Pelodiscus sinensis: one gene and its partner. The protein of the gene in region 2 interacts with the protein of the main gene of each other region in a pairwise test. Links are inferred from orthologs where the notes say so. Each region holds a gene or a part of one and is shown on either strand. Other genes may lie near its edges.

What was found. The genes of interacting proteins can lie anywhere in the genome.
Region 1: the proteins of CTBP1 (region 2) and KLF12 interact in binary tests that used the Homo sapiens proteins (3 or more experiments, as listed by UniProt). The link is inferred for Pelodiscus sinensis from reciprocal best matches to the Homo sapiens genes CTBP1 and KLF12.

What each region holds. Positions count from the first base shown.
Region 1 is NC_134711.1:268,241,166-268,249,040, forward strand, and holds the start of KLF12 (Krueppel-like factor 12), read left to right. Parts: upstream 1-4,829; 5' UTR 4,830-4,919; intron 4,920-5,144; exon of another isoform or gene 5,145-5,578; intron 5,579-5,650; exon of another isoform or gene 5,651-5,821; intron 5,822-5,831; exon of another isoform or gene 5,832-6,545; intron 6,546-7,875. UniProt on the Homo sapiens protein: Confers strong transcriptional repression to the AP-2-alpha gene. Binds to a regulatory element (A32) in the AP-2-alpha gene promoter.
Region 2 is NC_134715.1:120,933,882-120,941,238, reverse strand, and holds the start of CTBP1 (C-terminal-binding protein 1), read right to left. Parts: upstream 3,076-7,357; 5' UTR 2,800-3,075; intron 1-2,799. UniProt on the Homo sapiens protein: Corepressor targeting diverse transcription regulators such as GLIS2 or BCL6. Has dehydrogenase activity. Involved in controlling the equilibrium between tubular and stacked structures in the Golgi complex.

The DNA.
Region 1 (7,875 bases), on a different chromosome or scaffold from region 2:
GTTCAGCAAATGAATGCAATCTTTCTTACAACATATATCATGTAATATATGTCCAATGATGCATTCCAAACTAAGGATTTTTGTTTCTTTGTTTTTAATTTAAGTTAGGAAGTGAAATCTGAGTAGAAAGGGAAAAATTTAAGGTGAACTGAAAATTCACTTTTCAAAAAATTACAGAATGACAAAGTAAATACTGAATGTCTCAAAACAGTAGGAAAGAGGACTCAGGGAGTCCATATATGCTTTAATTTAAATGTATCTTTGTTTGTATCAAGTCTAAATTGTCAAAATATGCTACTGATTTCCTGTTTTGACTTGGCTGATTCTTAGAGTCCAGCAAACCTGTGAATATCTGCACCTTCTGATGAGATGGATATCTGACAACCATTTCTGTGGACTGAAGATGGATGGAGATGCAAATTTTATATCTAGAGCCCTGCAAATCTGCAGATATCAACTTTATATCTGCAGATATATGCATCTGGCTGTGGATCCCAATTTTATATCCATGTCAGGTACTATAGTGATGCTCTCTTTTGGTGACATGGCACACTAATAAAGAACCTGACTGCACACAGTCAATTGAGGTAAGTTCTTTTGGAGAAAACAGTGTTCTGTATGGAAAAAGCCTGGAGCATACTGAGACCTTGATCCTGATATGACGTAAGCATGTGCTTAACTTTGAACATAGAATTAGCTAACCAGAGTTCAGTAAAACTATTCCTTGTAGAATCAGAGTCTAAAAGATAGCATAATTAAGGTGCAAAACAGTGAAGACTTTAGAGGACAACAGGAAAGAAATTTCCTTATCAGTGGCAGGGGAGAAACTTAAAAGGTGAAAGAAAAAGAGAATGAGGATGGAGGTTTCAGTTGATCTTACTTTTTAAAAAAATTAGCAAGCTCTGATGCAGAGAGGGAGAGCTTTTAAGAAGGAGCAGAAGGTAGGAAATAAGTGGCTTGGTAGTGTGGGTTTTGGAGAGAATGAAGGTGGCACAGCAAAACTTCCTTGTAAGGAATATGGAAAAACGGAGTGAGGAGAAAATGTATTTGTAGTGAACGAAGCACATGTAGTCTCTAGTGGTATTCAGTGGTCATTATCATCATTGTCCTTTACGCATGCTGGCGTATAGGGCAGGAACAATTTTTTATTGCTGTTTCCATAACAAAAGGCTTTTTCTAGGTAAGGGTTGTTAGCCCCAAGCCAAACCCTCAATCCTGGAGGATCAGTGTGCATGCTTAGTCCGGCTCCTTCCCGCTTGACCTTGCCGGCTTGGTTGAACCTACCAGGAACACTAAGCTCCTGCCGGCATAGCTCCTGAGATCATAAGAACATGCAAGCTGCCCCGCCCCGACAATGCGTATGTACAAGGGGCAGGATATTCAGTGGTAGAGCTGGCATAAACATATATATTTTTAAAAATTAATATTTCAAATACTAGTTTGTTCTACTGGGGTTTAAAAAGGGCTAATTTTCTCTCAGAATTTTATGTGAAAATATTTTATTGATTTAAGTTTTCAAAATATAAACATGTTGTTTCAAAATCTCAGTTTTTGAAAAAAAAGTTTTAAAAACCCTCATCAATTAGTAAGAAAAATGATGAAACACTCCAAACCCCAAAAATAACAAAAAATAGGCAAGAAAGGAAAATTTTGAGATAATAAACATATTTTCATGGGTATTTGGTTTTGAAAAACGGTAATATTTTTGGAAAATTTTCAAACAAAAAATGTGTATCCAGCTCTGATCAGTGGCAGAAGAATGAGAATAAAGGAATCCAGTATTATGAGTGAGTCATGACTGTGATTTAATAGGGGACAGACTTAATAAAAGTATGTGACTGAGAACTATATTTCTCTATATATCAGCACTATATATTAAATATTAATGTACATTATCACTATTTCTGTATCAATTTATTGATATATAATCATGTAATACATCTTGATTTCTATTGTAAATGCAGTCATATTTTTACCTTGGATATAGTTCTGCAAATTCAGGGATATGGGTAATAGTTCCTAGAAACAGGCAACAGACCACATAAACAGCAAACGTAGCACATAATGAAGTTGACAGAACAAATTTTATAACCACAAAATGTCAGCTCAACCAACTCTTCCTCTGGATGATTTCCTTAGATAAATTAGATACATGAATAAAATATTCTCAGTGTGATAAAATAAATATTGATGGTTTAAATATTTTATCAGAAATTCAACAGAAATGAGCTTTACCTGCCTTTCACTGCACAACAGCGTGTATAACATGATGTTTCTCTATTATGTACCTCATCACACTGTCTACATACAATCTTCTTCCTACTATCACTATTCATTTTTCATATGTCAAGTGCTCATTAACCCTTTAACCCCAGTGGGTGAAAGCCAGTGCTATGATTTTTCCTTATGTACACCCAACACAGGGAAATCGCTGCTCCTAGCACCAAGTGGAAGAATGAATGTAAATGCTTTTGCTTTGTATTGATAATTGTGAGTACATGATACAAGTCTATCACTGGAATGTTTCCAATGGAGTGCTATTATAGTCCACTTAATATGGACTAAAGACTGATGTTTAAAATATTGTGCTATAACTCTTAATTTTGACAATGGTAAAAAATTATTTTATATAATTTAATACATTATAATATATGATAAGATTTTTGGAATGTGTTCTGTATAAAAAGAGCATTATGAAGGAAAAGCTGCCATTCACTTTTTGAAAGTTGGTGGCACTACTATTTCTGATTTGTTAGCATTGCATACTCACTTTCCACAAGAGGAATTGTCTACATGTGTTATTAGGCAGTGGAGAAATAAGCCTCATCTCTCTCTCTGTTGTACATGTCTGTGTATAGGCATATTTGTATATGCTTAACTTTGCTTATTTGTTATCTTCCTTTCCTTAACAATGAAGAAAATGGAGTTCAGAACCAGTGACAAATAGCTGGTGACAATAACTAATTCTTTTTTTGCCAAAGGAAGCCATATGGAAGTGGTTCATGTTATAACAGTTAATGACAAATTGCATGAAAAGACACATAGTTGTAGATTACAGAGCAGGATGTAGCTACAACACATCATAGTATAAGGAAGTGGAAGCTGTTTGTGGTTATTTTGGCCTCTTAGGTAAATACTGTCTAGGCAAACTTTACTTTGTATATGCTACAAGCAGTAATATTTTGTAAGTTTCTATAAACTTCCCCAAAACAACAGGGAGCCAGTCTGGTTTCTTGTGTAAATACGCTTATAAACAGGATTGTTGAAATGTAGTTATATATTTTAGCTAACAAGTCAGGTAATAATCTATTGCATCTATTACAAGATGATTTGCCCTGTATGTTTTAATGTGTTATTCACCAAACGATTGTAACAATTGCTTTAAAGATTATAGGTTGGATTTTCTGGACCAGATGAGCTGCACTTGCTGCAGAACTGATGTGGAATGAGAAAGGGTGGAAGTGTCTTATGCCATCTGTACATCCCCTTGATTCTGGGGTTAACCAGGGGTCAGTTTAGCACTCAATTTAGAGCAGCCCTAAATTGAAGGGTAGATAGCATAGAACAGTTCTACTAGCTCTGTACCACGCAAGGATTTCCCTATACCAGGGGACCCCATTTAATTGATTAAAGTCTCTAGGTCGTACAAGGATCAGGATCTTGCCCAAAACACTCTATAGTTCAAGTACATATTTAGGTACATGTTTTATTTAAAAAAAAAATAAAACCTTACAATATCTTTTTAAAGTATATCCTGTACATTTTCAGTCACAGCTTCTCAAAATTTAACAATTTGGACATAGTATTTTTATTTCACAACATATTAAAGATTATTCTTGCTTTTTAATATATTACAATATATACAACATTTGCCCAAGTTTCTAAGTGTTGGTTATTAATTTTTGCCCTGTCATTATTTTAAATAAACTTAAAAAATAACAAATGGTCTGGTAGCACTTTATAGACTAACAAAATGTTTAGAAATAATTTCTGTGTATTTATGATACATGAAGAGCCTGACCCTGCAGTGCTTACAAATACAAATTTCACATTTTAGGATGTTTTGAGACAGAATTGTAGCAATGACACTCAGATTTTCCCACAGGATGTTTTACCACATCTTTCAAGAAAACTAATTTTTTAAATTTAATTACAACCCCTTCAAAGCAGCAGCATATCTATAGGAACTGTTTTGTGTTGCCATAAACCAAAAACAGGTCAATGGTTGATGCTGATCAACAGTGTTCTGTATGTCAAAGCTCAGTAAATAGTCTCCTGTCTTTTTAATTGAAGTACCTGGCCAGTGGGTCTCTATCAGCTTTCTTTTGTCACACCCAGTGGTCAAATTGTTAGCAGGCTAGAAGGAACATTGGTCGATGCCTAGTTCATTGTGTTGTGTTTTAAACTTTGACCATCCTGGTGACTAAGAGAGAAAATCTGGCAATTTTTAGTTTAGTTCCCGTTTTGCTTGTGTCCTAGTCTCACTATTTCTTTGAATGAGACACTCTTAGCATAAAAAACATCGCTTCTGAACCTGCCATTGTTATAAGCAACACACCTCACTCGGTACATCCAACCCACTCTCCTTGCCCCTCCCCTCAGCCAGCGCCTCCTGTCACACACATTCCTCAACTACCCCTCCGCGCCACCACCGACACCCCCTAGCCTGGGTAATCTGCTCTCATTCCTAAACGCCCTCCCATCTGGTTCTCACCCTCCCCCCTCCCCGCCGGTGTACCCCAAAGGCTGAGCTGTTCTTACACTTCCCCCTCCCCCGTCTGCTTCTCCAGCCCACCTCCCTCCCCGCCTCCGCCCGGCTCCTCCGCCGCTTGGCCTCGCGCCCGCTTAGCTCCTTATCCCCCGGCAGAGCTCCTGCGCCGCCCTTCCCCCCGCGGAGGCCGGGGGAGAGCGAAGCCCAGGTAGGGCGCACCGGGGAGGGGAGCAGGCGGCTTCCCAGCGCAGACGGGCGCGTGCAGCCCGAGGCGGAGCTTGTGCACGAGCGGCAAGGGCACGCTCGGAGCCGGTCCCGGCGCAGCAGCAGCAGCAGCAGCGAGCTGCACTAGCGCGCCCGGCGGGGAGTGTTCCCAGCCCACCTCTCAGGCCGGGGAGGGGCTGGCTGCGCACCGGGGATTTCAGCGAGCGAGAGCCGCAGCTGGCCGGCCCCGCCCCCTCTTGCTCCTCCCCCGATTGATTGTATTGGGGGGCGGGCGAAGGGAAGGGGGGTGCGTTACATGCCAGCAAAGCAGTTTAGTTCCTGCTGATCCATCACACGCTCAGAAAAGGGACTTGCCCGCGCGCGGGGTTTGGTTTGTTGGGGGGGGGGAGAGGAACGGGGGCCCCTTTTGTTTGCGTGGCCTTCTCCCCTCCGCTCCGCCCTCCCCTCCGGTCCCCCCCGCTCCGAGGAGGGCAAAGAGAGTAGGAGAAAGGGCTGCCTCGCCACCCCTCCCCCCTCGAGCGGGCCCCCAGTGCAATTCGATGCGTCCCGGGTAAGGCTCCCCCGCGCTATATTGTGTCCTCTCTTGTGTCTGAAGCCTCCACCCACTGGCCCACCCTACATTTAGCACATCATGTGATCCGGGTAAGTCATTTGCAAGTACAACAGTTCTCTGTGTTGCCCCCATTCATTTCCTGAGAACTGCATAGAGCAGCTGAGGGAGACTGTGTGTGTGTGTGTGTGTGTGTGTGTGAGCGAGAGCGAGCGAGTGTGTGCGCGAGAGTGTGTGTGTGTGTGAGGGGGAGGGAGGGAGGGAGCGATCGAGAGGGAGAGGGGACTGTATAAGGGAAAGAAAACAGTTTCTCCTGCTCTGCAGCTTCTGTTCAGGTCTGTGCCTATTCCATTTCTTATCCGAATAAACACCTTTTCTTTTTTCTCTTGCTGTCCCGATCAATCAGCTTTCAGAGACCATTGCATTTTCCGGTCATTAAACCATTTTAAAACGTTAGAAGGCTGATCTCTTGAATGGGGCAAGCATTGGAGGGGTAGGAGGGGGAAGCTTTTGCAAAACAAGGCTATGGGCAAGGCTCTTGTTAAATTACCAGTCAGAAGGACGTTTTCAAACCAACCCAGTCCAAACCAAACCCAGCTTTGTCAAATAATGCATGCGAACGTGTAGTTCACACGGAGTGGGGCTGTTTGGTCACGTAAGTGACAGTGGCAAGGAAACAAGGTGTCATGTTGAATTTGGGGTTTGCTGCTCTAGTTTGTCATTCCAAAAAAAAAAAAAAAAATCGGTGTGCATGTTATTTGGAGGAGGAGGGTAATGGGTTAAGATGGGGATGACACTATTTGGCATTAATAGTGGTCATTGTGCTACAGTCATTATTGTCTCCAGTAGTAATGATGTGTAACTGTCACTTGCCACAGTGCATAGTTCATGGAAGTAGCTGGGAGATGGCCTATGGCTGTTCTTTTCAATTAAGGTGGATCTAGCTAGAGTTGACAAGGGAGAACTTTCCATTGAGACCAGTCATGAAATGAAGAGTGTTGAGCGTCATCTTGGGAGCCACCGCAGCTTGTCTGTTATAAGCTTGCTGTATCCTGACGAGTGAGTGCTGACCTCAGTGACATTAGTTTGCATTAAAGCAAGAGGCTTCTTTGCAAGAGGAATCAATTATGATTTTGTTCATTATAGAGTCTACGATCAGAACTTTCAGTGCATGTTTATATTGAGGGCAAAAAATAACTTGCCAGATCTGATTAACAGTGTATTTAAGCTGACTGTTTGGGGGGGGGGGGGGGGCAGGGGAGGGACAGGAGTACCAAATCCTTTGTGCTATATTCCTTCCATCTCTCCCCTTCTATGCTTCTCTCCTTGCACAAAAAGCTTATAGTTCTGTATTTCTTAATAGTAATAATAACTTTAATTCAACTGATAAAAGCTGACTGTGCTCAGTTAAAGTCTAAGTACAGTGGAATGTGTAATCTGGATAAATAGTCTATGTAGTTGATATTGTCAATCTTACTAATTTAACTATTCAGATGATTAAATAACTGTTCTATACAGATAATTTTAAGAAATTCTAGTGAGTAATGTTGATTTTTTATCAAACTGATTATTAAAAAAATAAGTGACTGCTCTACTAGTTACACTCCAATGCTGGGGAAACAAACACTCTAAAATTTACATTAAAAGCATGTGCATAGAGCTGCTACCGCAGACGAGTGCCAGTCAAGCAAACGTCACCCTGTAAATCCACCTAAACCATTCCATTCTCTTTTCTTACTGGAGGATAGAGTTGTTTAGCCAAGTAATGATCTGACATGAAATGTTACTGATGACAGGCAGGGTGGTGCAGGAGTTTGCAATGTGAAAAGGAGTGGTCACTTTTAAATACTGGGTGTATTCCTGTTAGAATTTTTTAAACTGTCATTTACAGAAACATAATTTTAATTCAGTCTCAAGAAGCAGTCACTTCAAATATGGGTTATGTGGTGTTATTGTCGCCAGCTATTGCCAGTTTTGTTGATATTATTTTATGCATTTAAAATGAGGAAAAAAGTGAGCTGTTTTTATGTAAGATATTGAAGATAAACAGTTTAGTTCCTTTCATTTCTTATATTAGCCTTGTAAAATTCTACATGCCTATGGCAATTTTTCTTCCTGCAGAGAAGGCAAACCATCTCTTTTTTCATGATCAGTCATGATGTTTATTTTATTTTATTTTATTTTATTTTATTTTATTTTATTTTATGCCGTGGCAGGCAGACATTCGTTGCAACTTTGCAAGGGTGCTTTATATAGTACTGGTGTATGCCCTCCATTTTCTGGTTGGTCTCCAAGTCTAAAATGTTACAGGAACAGCAAAGTAGTCTCTATTGTAGAATTAGTAATTATGCTGAATATATTGGAAATGAGGGTGACATGGGTATTTTAT
Region 2 (7,357 bases):
GCACTATATCACCTGCTTTTTTCACTCCCACTCAAAAAACAAACCCAGCACATCACCAAAAATCATATACACACCTACACCTTATAAGCTGAAAAGAACTGGTCGCTAAAAATAAAAAACACACAGAGTACAACACAACAAATGGTATTTCTTAAATGGTTTTGTGGAATGGCAATTACGGTGTTAAATTTTAATTTTGTATTGGAATACACAGGTTCAGCAAAGTAACTCTGAGCATTGATCTAAACAACCTTCCAATCTAAGGAGTTCAGTTTCATGAGTCTTCACTGAAGTCTCTTTCATTGAGATAATGCAAAGTTTCTAATCAAAGGTTTCATAACAGATACCAGGAGCTGGGAAGGGAAAGAGCAAGAAGATGTCTTGACATAGAAGAGGAAGAAAAAGCCACAATAAAACATTTAAGATGCTTATAAGGTTTGTTATTGACAAAATCCAGGATGGACTATGATGAACTACAGTTCTACTGTGTACTTTAACAAGTCTTATCTTCCACCAGTACATTAAAATGTACATATATTTTTTAAAAAGTATTATTTGTAATAGTAGTAGTGTTTTCTCCAAACTTTATCACAATAGATTAACAATTAAAAGAAATGTGTAATGTAATTCATAAGGTCTTTCCCTTAAACATCTCCTTACTGTGACTTTTACAGTAACACCATTTATCCATAATGGAAATTAAGTGTGGCCTATTCCTTTCTTTTCTCTCTCTACATATTCCACACAGCTAATCAGTAGCCTCTCTCTGACCCATTCCTTCAAGAGTCTAAATGATCATCAACTTTTCTCCAAACAATTATGCATTAATTCTTGTCCATATCACCCTATGAAATGATCTGCCTCATCCACTGAATCACTTTTGTAAAAAATGTAAGATAGCATCTTAACTTCTCAGCTGAAGCAGGAGTAGAAACATGGTCAGTCTATTAGGCTACAGTTTTCCCACAACAAAGATTGGTCAGAATATTACATTTCTGGTTTTATTTAAATGTTCTCTACATAGGCCATTTTCCATTTGATATGGTCAAATATTAGAAAACAATAAAAAAATATTTATACAAACATCATATTCATGTTTAAATATGGGAAAACCGCGTAAAGCTTTTTTCATACTATGAAGAAAAATGATTTATTAGAGAATAACTAAAAAAAATGAATAGAATGCATAGAATGGCAGGCTTTCCCATGTTGTTATTTGGTGAAGAAAAAAAAAATCTATGCAAAGTTTTTTGCTTTGATTTTGTTGGAGCAGGAAAATTCTTTATTATTATAATAAACATATACAAGATTGTTCTCAGAAGTGAATGAAATCACTTACAAAAATTGGCTGGGGATCATTCAGAACCAACAAGAAAGATCCATTTCTAAAATTATTATGACAATATACTACAACAGAATGTTTACCTCAATCCTGCCCCTCCTTAAAAGCCTCTTCAATGTTAATTCCCACTCTAGGGCTACAGGTCTTCTGCTAAAATTTTTTCTAGATTCTGTAATCCTTTTCTCTTTAATCTCCAGTCTATGAAGAGAGATGATGAGATCCACATATGCATAGCAAGTGAGGATTTAAGTAACTTTACATCTCACCATAGTTACCACATTTGATTTAAACAGGACATTGAATCATTTTGTCATTTAAGATTTTATGTGTGTATGTCTTGATATGTTCAACGAGCATGCAATTTTACAAGCAAATTGTTTTATGTGGTTAATGGGCAAACTACATTTCAATACATCAGTAGATGTGACATTAAGATTCATCATTCATCTCTGCAGGTTATTTCTGGAGGGGAATAGAGCATTTGCCAGGTTCATTGGTGGCTAAAGGTTTAAATGTGTTACTATTAATTTTGTTTAAAAGATTTTTCCCACTACTACCATTTCATGAATATTTCTAAAACAATTCCTTGACGTTTTCATTAGTCTGTCAAAACTGTTCTATTGGACTTTTTTGTTTCTCATGGTAACCAATTTTATTTGACTTAACAGAAGCTGTTCAAATATTTAAAGGCACTCCGAGATGGCAGGAGTTTATCTAGGAGCATACATGTTGTGTCACATATATTCCTTTCCTCGCTCTTATTTTTATTTTTTTCTCCAGAAATAGTAACAACCAAACAGGACACTAACTGGACATATTGTACCAGGAACCTGTTCACTTAATCTGTTTATGGTAAAATTCAAGTTATAATAGGCACGTTTAGAAATTACAAGCTCGGTCGTTAAAACAGATGCCTGTGACGTTCCTTCATATGTACTGTATCCCTCTGCCAATACTACCATCAAGCGCAAGGCAAGAACTAAAGTATAAACATCTGCAACACCTCTCTGTTTTGTTAACATTCTTTCACACATTTTACTGCTAACTCCGAAAAAGGAGGATCGACGGTATAAAAAAAACTGAAATTGGAAACATCTGTGAGATAGCTACGGAAAACGGAATGAAACATGAATAAACAAAAACATGGCGAAAGTGGCCTGGGGTTGTTACACTGTCAGATCATTTTTCCAAGCCCAACATCAAGGCTTTTGTTACAACCAAAGCGGTCATTTGCATGGAGAACCAACAGGGTTTCTTCTTCTTCAGCGTTTCCTAGATCGTAACACACACTCGCTCTCTTCCATACACACACAGGCAAATCTTCCCCGTTGCAAACAAACAATACAGCTAACCACACACATTTTCGCAACTGCGGAATCTACAGATTACAAACGACACTCCGCATACTTCATAGTTTGGTGCTGAGATGTAATTTAGCAATAAAATAACAGACAAACCTTTGGAGCGCTGCCCCAGCCGGAGTTCCTCTCTCCCTCTGCTCTGCTGTTACTGACAAGATCAGGCTGAGATTAACAAGTCCATACTACTGAACACTCTTACTCCTCAGGTTATTCCATGCACTTCGTGTGCTTTAAATAATATCAAACTTCTCAGAAAGTTTAAAAAATAGTGAATTAGAAACAGAGCACAGAAATAAGAAAGCAGAAAACACTGTACGGGCAATTATTACAGCAGCACGGAGGGCACTGCTTTATAGTTTAGGTTGTGTCAGCACTTCCATTCTAAACCCCCATTTTCGGGGGGAGGGGAGAGGAGGCTGTTATAATTCAAGCCAACAAAAATTGCTCCTAGCTAAATCAGGTGATATTATTTCTTTTTAATATTTAAAAAAATCCATTTAGTGACTATTCAAAAGTTTTAGGGGCACAAAAGTACACCCATTTTAGCAGCTTTGGAAGCTTTATTTTCACTTTTCCAATATAAATAAAACATTAAACATTCCTTTTTAAAAATAAAATTTCACAGACCTTTGCTCTACAATGAGAGTCTGGTCCTTCACTTTTTATAAAAACACATTAATAAATATTAATATCTGAAAACTGTCTGAATACACAGTAACTTTTAAATAACTGTTAAGTGAATTTATTGGCTAGTTCCAGAGATATTAAGTTGTCTATTTAAAGAATTGGGCAGCACAGACAGTGGTCCTTGCCAGTATGTGTCCAATCTAATCTGAGGCAGCTTTGTAAAATTCTCCTCCCACCACTTGTTGGAAGCAAACCATTTTTCTGACCGGTGAATGTCCTCAACATCTTGGTAAGGTGCTTGTTCTGCAATGGCTACTTTACAATGCTGCTCTAACCGGTGATAAGGCAAGCCAGTCTGTACTCTTACTCAGTCTTTGACCAGTCAACTATTGCACTGGTGATGATTCCATGGCCTGGATAACTGACCCATGGAAACTGGACCATGATAGACAACTTATTTCATATAGATGACTACATAGCCAGGACAATTTCAACTTTATACCTTTTGCTTTTAATAAACATCTTTATTAGGGCTGTTCATCATATATATGCATGACCAAAGAATAACTGTCAAGCGGTGAATTCTATTCAAATACTAGTACATTCTTTGTAAAGTGTAAACACATGGATTGACAGGTAAAAGTAAAAAACCAGGTCAGACAAAAATCAAAGTGCACATTCAGTTATCCCTCAGTTCGATGGAATGCATATAAGCTAATGCACCCCTCACCTCACTAATGCAGAAACTCAGAATATCACCATGTTATATGTCATTTTGCTATCAGTCCCTTATTTTGAAGCATTACTTTTCATTTTAAAACCCTCTTCTCATCAAAAGATGAATTACAGAAATGTATATGTAGCCAAAGCCTACCACAGTCCATTCCTTGGGGCTGTATTCTCCTATCAACATGCAGTTAGTGAATTCAAATCTATTCAAACGCGCCCTGTTAACAGTCCAAGAGGGAGTGCAGGTCGTTGTTTCTCTAAAATATTATTCCTCCCAACTTCCCAAAACCACGATTGTTTGAAATACACCAAGAAGTATTTGAGATCCAAGTAGTCTACCCTGCCTCTTCTCTGTCCCATATAAACACCCTCTCACTATCAAATGATTGTACGCAACAAGTCACTCTAGTATGGTCCATGTCAACATTATGATTTATTAACAATTCCCGCCCTAGAAGAAATTAGATCTCCCATCCTCCTATATAGATGAGATAAAGCCAAATGGATGCCCATATGAAATATAATAAAGTATATAATTACTTGTCAACAGAGTAAAAGTAAGGCTTGTTTTAGTCTAAGAAATATATAGAGTATTTAACATTTAAAATGTATACTTTCCAAAGTGATTAAATAGTTGGATGGCAGTCATTAATTTCAACAAACTGTTCATTCCCATTAATAAACGCTTTGAAAAGGATGATCAACAACATCTGGAAATACAAATTCAAAATAAAAAAAAAGTCTATGGCATCCAGCTGGAGAACAGGGAGAAAGAAAAAAGTTATGGCCATACATACTCATCTTAATGTACCCCAAATGTATACTTCCTAGCTTTTGTAAGAATTACACAATGATACTTAAGAGCTAACCATTGTACAGATTTGTTTTGCACTAATCACAACTCCCTTCAAATTAAATGAGGGACCCAAAATTTTGGAAGGGGAGTTCATCCAAAGAAAAATAATCTTTATTTTCAAGTTGTCATTAAACCAAAGACCCATTTACATATATGGATGTTTATAATCACTTTATAATAGTGATAAATCACTTTATAATCACTTTTTAAATTTCAGCATGTTACTGACCACTCTATTTTTTAACATAAGTCTAAATATTTGAGTGATTAGTTTAGTTTAAGTCCACACAGGATGAATGCCATTATTTGCATGAATTATTAGTTGCGACAATCTTAATTTGAAAATATACTAACAATGCACATATAGGCTGTATAAATATTTAACCATGCCACCTAGAAAGTAAATTAGTTGACATTCAACAATTAAAGCTGTCTTTCTGAAGTTGCAATATTTAAAGGTTAAAGATTAGACATGCTCCCTCTTGTGTTAAACTAAGAATGCATGCTGTTTTCTGTGACATGATGGTAGCTCAGCCATCTGTTTCCACTGAGCAAACCTCAAACTTTGATTGCTAATTTCTGACAAACATCCACCAATAGTTCTACAGTACAAAGGTTGGCTCACTTTGCACACATTCATAGGATTACTTTATGTTTGAGAAGTACTGTCATTTTGCATACTGTAGAAGATCACCATTAAGCATAAAATAACATACCAAAAGTATGGTGCAATAAAGATTAGTGGACATAATTAAATATATACACATGAAAATAAACTACATACAAAATATATATCAAATATTAAATAACTTTATTTCATACATGGCCTAATAATTTACAACAAAATATCCACCCTTTGCTAATTTTTCCTTTCCATTAGTGTTAGTTAGTTAGTTACAGGATTCACGTAGTCTAGCATAAAAGTTTGCTTAAAGAATCTTTACAAAATGTGTATTCATTTCATAGCTATGTGAAGATAGGAACACAACAGTGCTACGTAAATGTGCATGTGTGCACAAATTATCTACCTGAGGCTCCGATCTTTCAGCTTGACCCACTGAAAGCCTTATACCCGCCTGGAGCCTCAATAAAGTCAATCAATGTCCATTCATGCAGACTCAGTTGCCCTTAGGGCAGCGATTCTCAAATGTGGTGGCCACTAAATCCCCTATCTCTGTCCAGGAGACTAAGGCAAAGAAGCAGCCTCTCTTAGCAGTGCCCACTGGCTCCACAGGTAGTCTTCCACTTCCCCAACCCCTTTGTCCTTCCACTGATTCAGTTGCGGAGCTCTAGGGGCAGGCTCCAAACCAGGGTAGCTGTTTTCAGTAGGGTCAGAATACCAGGTCAAGGCAAAAAGTCGGGTGAGAGTCTGTGGAAAGAATCTCAGGGTAGCAGGGGTAGGATAAGTGGAACCTCAAAAACAGGGGGCTGGGGGAAGAAGCAGGGTGAGAGGTGATGGGAGGTAGCATGGACTAGAGGCACCAAAGTGCAACTATACATTATTTTCAATATTGAATATAAAAATAAACCCTACATAAATAAATCACAATGATTTGGGCTTGTGTGTGTACACATTTGGTTTTCCTAATATTAATTATGTATTTTAGGAATATTTGTCAGACAGTTGTTGTTAGAACTTATGATGCCTTATGACATCTCAATGAGAGCACAGACAAGCACTGTAAATTAGAAGTTTAACTAGCTAACACATTTTAACTAATGTGATTTTCAACAGGACTTTGCACTTAGTGGAGAGAGAATAAATAACTTAAAATCCTGTTGATTGGTTGTGGCCAATCCTAGACTCTATGGTAAATTTAATTACAACCTGTAATGGATGTTTCATCATCAGCTGCGGTGTCTAAAAGAGGTACAAAGTCCTGTTTAAAACATTTGTTATTTATTAGGTAACATTTTAAAATGTAATGTATTTTATAGTCTTTACTGAAGAATATTTGGAAAGTTTTAAAATTATGCAAACTACCCTCTTTTTCTTGTAAAATGTGTTTTTCATTAAATCCAATTCTCTAAAGGTTAACAGAAATAATGCAGCCAAACCTTAACCAGGAAGGGCAGCAAAGTCATGGATGCTTCATATACATGCACTATTAAATCTTGGACCAATATTTAAAAAGGGCTCTAGAGGCGATCCTGGCAATTACAGACCGGTAAGTCTAACTTCAGTACCGGGCAAATTAGTCGAAACAATAGTAAAGAATAAAATTGTGAAGCATATAGAAGAACATAATTTGTTGGACAAAAGTCAGCATGGTTTCTGTAAAGGGAAATCCTGTCTTACTAATCTATTAGAGTTCTTTGAAGGGGTTAACAAACATGCGGACAAAAGGGATCCAGTAGATATACTATACTTAGATTTTCAGAAAGCCTTTGACAAGGTCCCTAACCAAAGGCTCTTGTGTAAATTACATGGCCATGGGATAA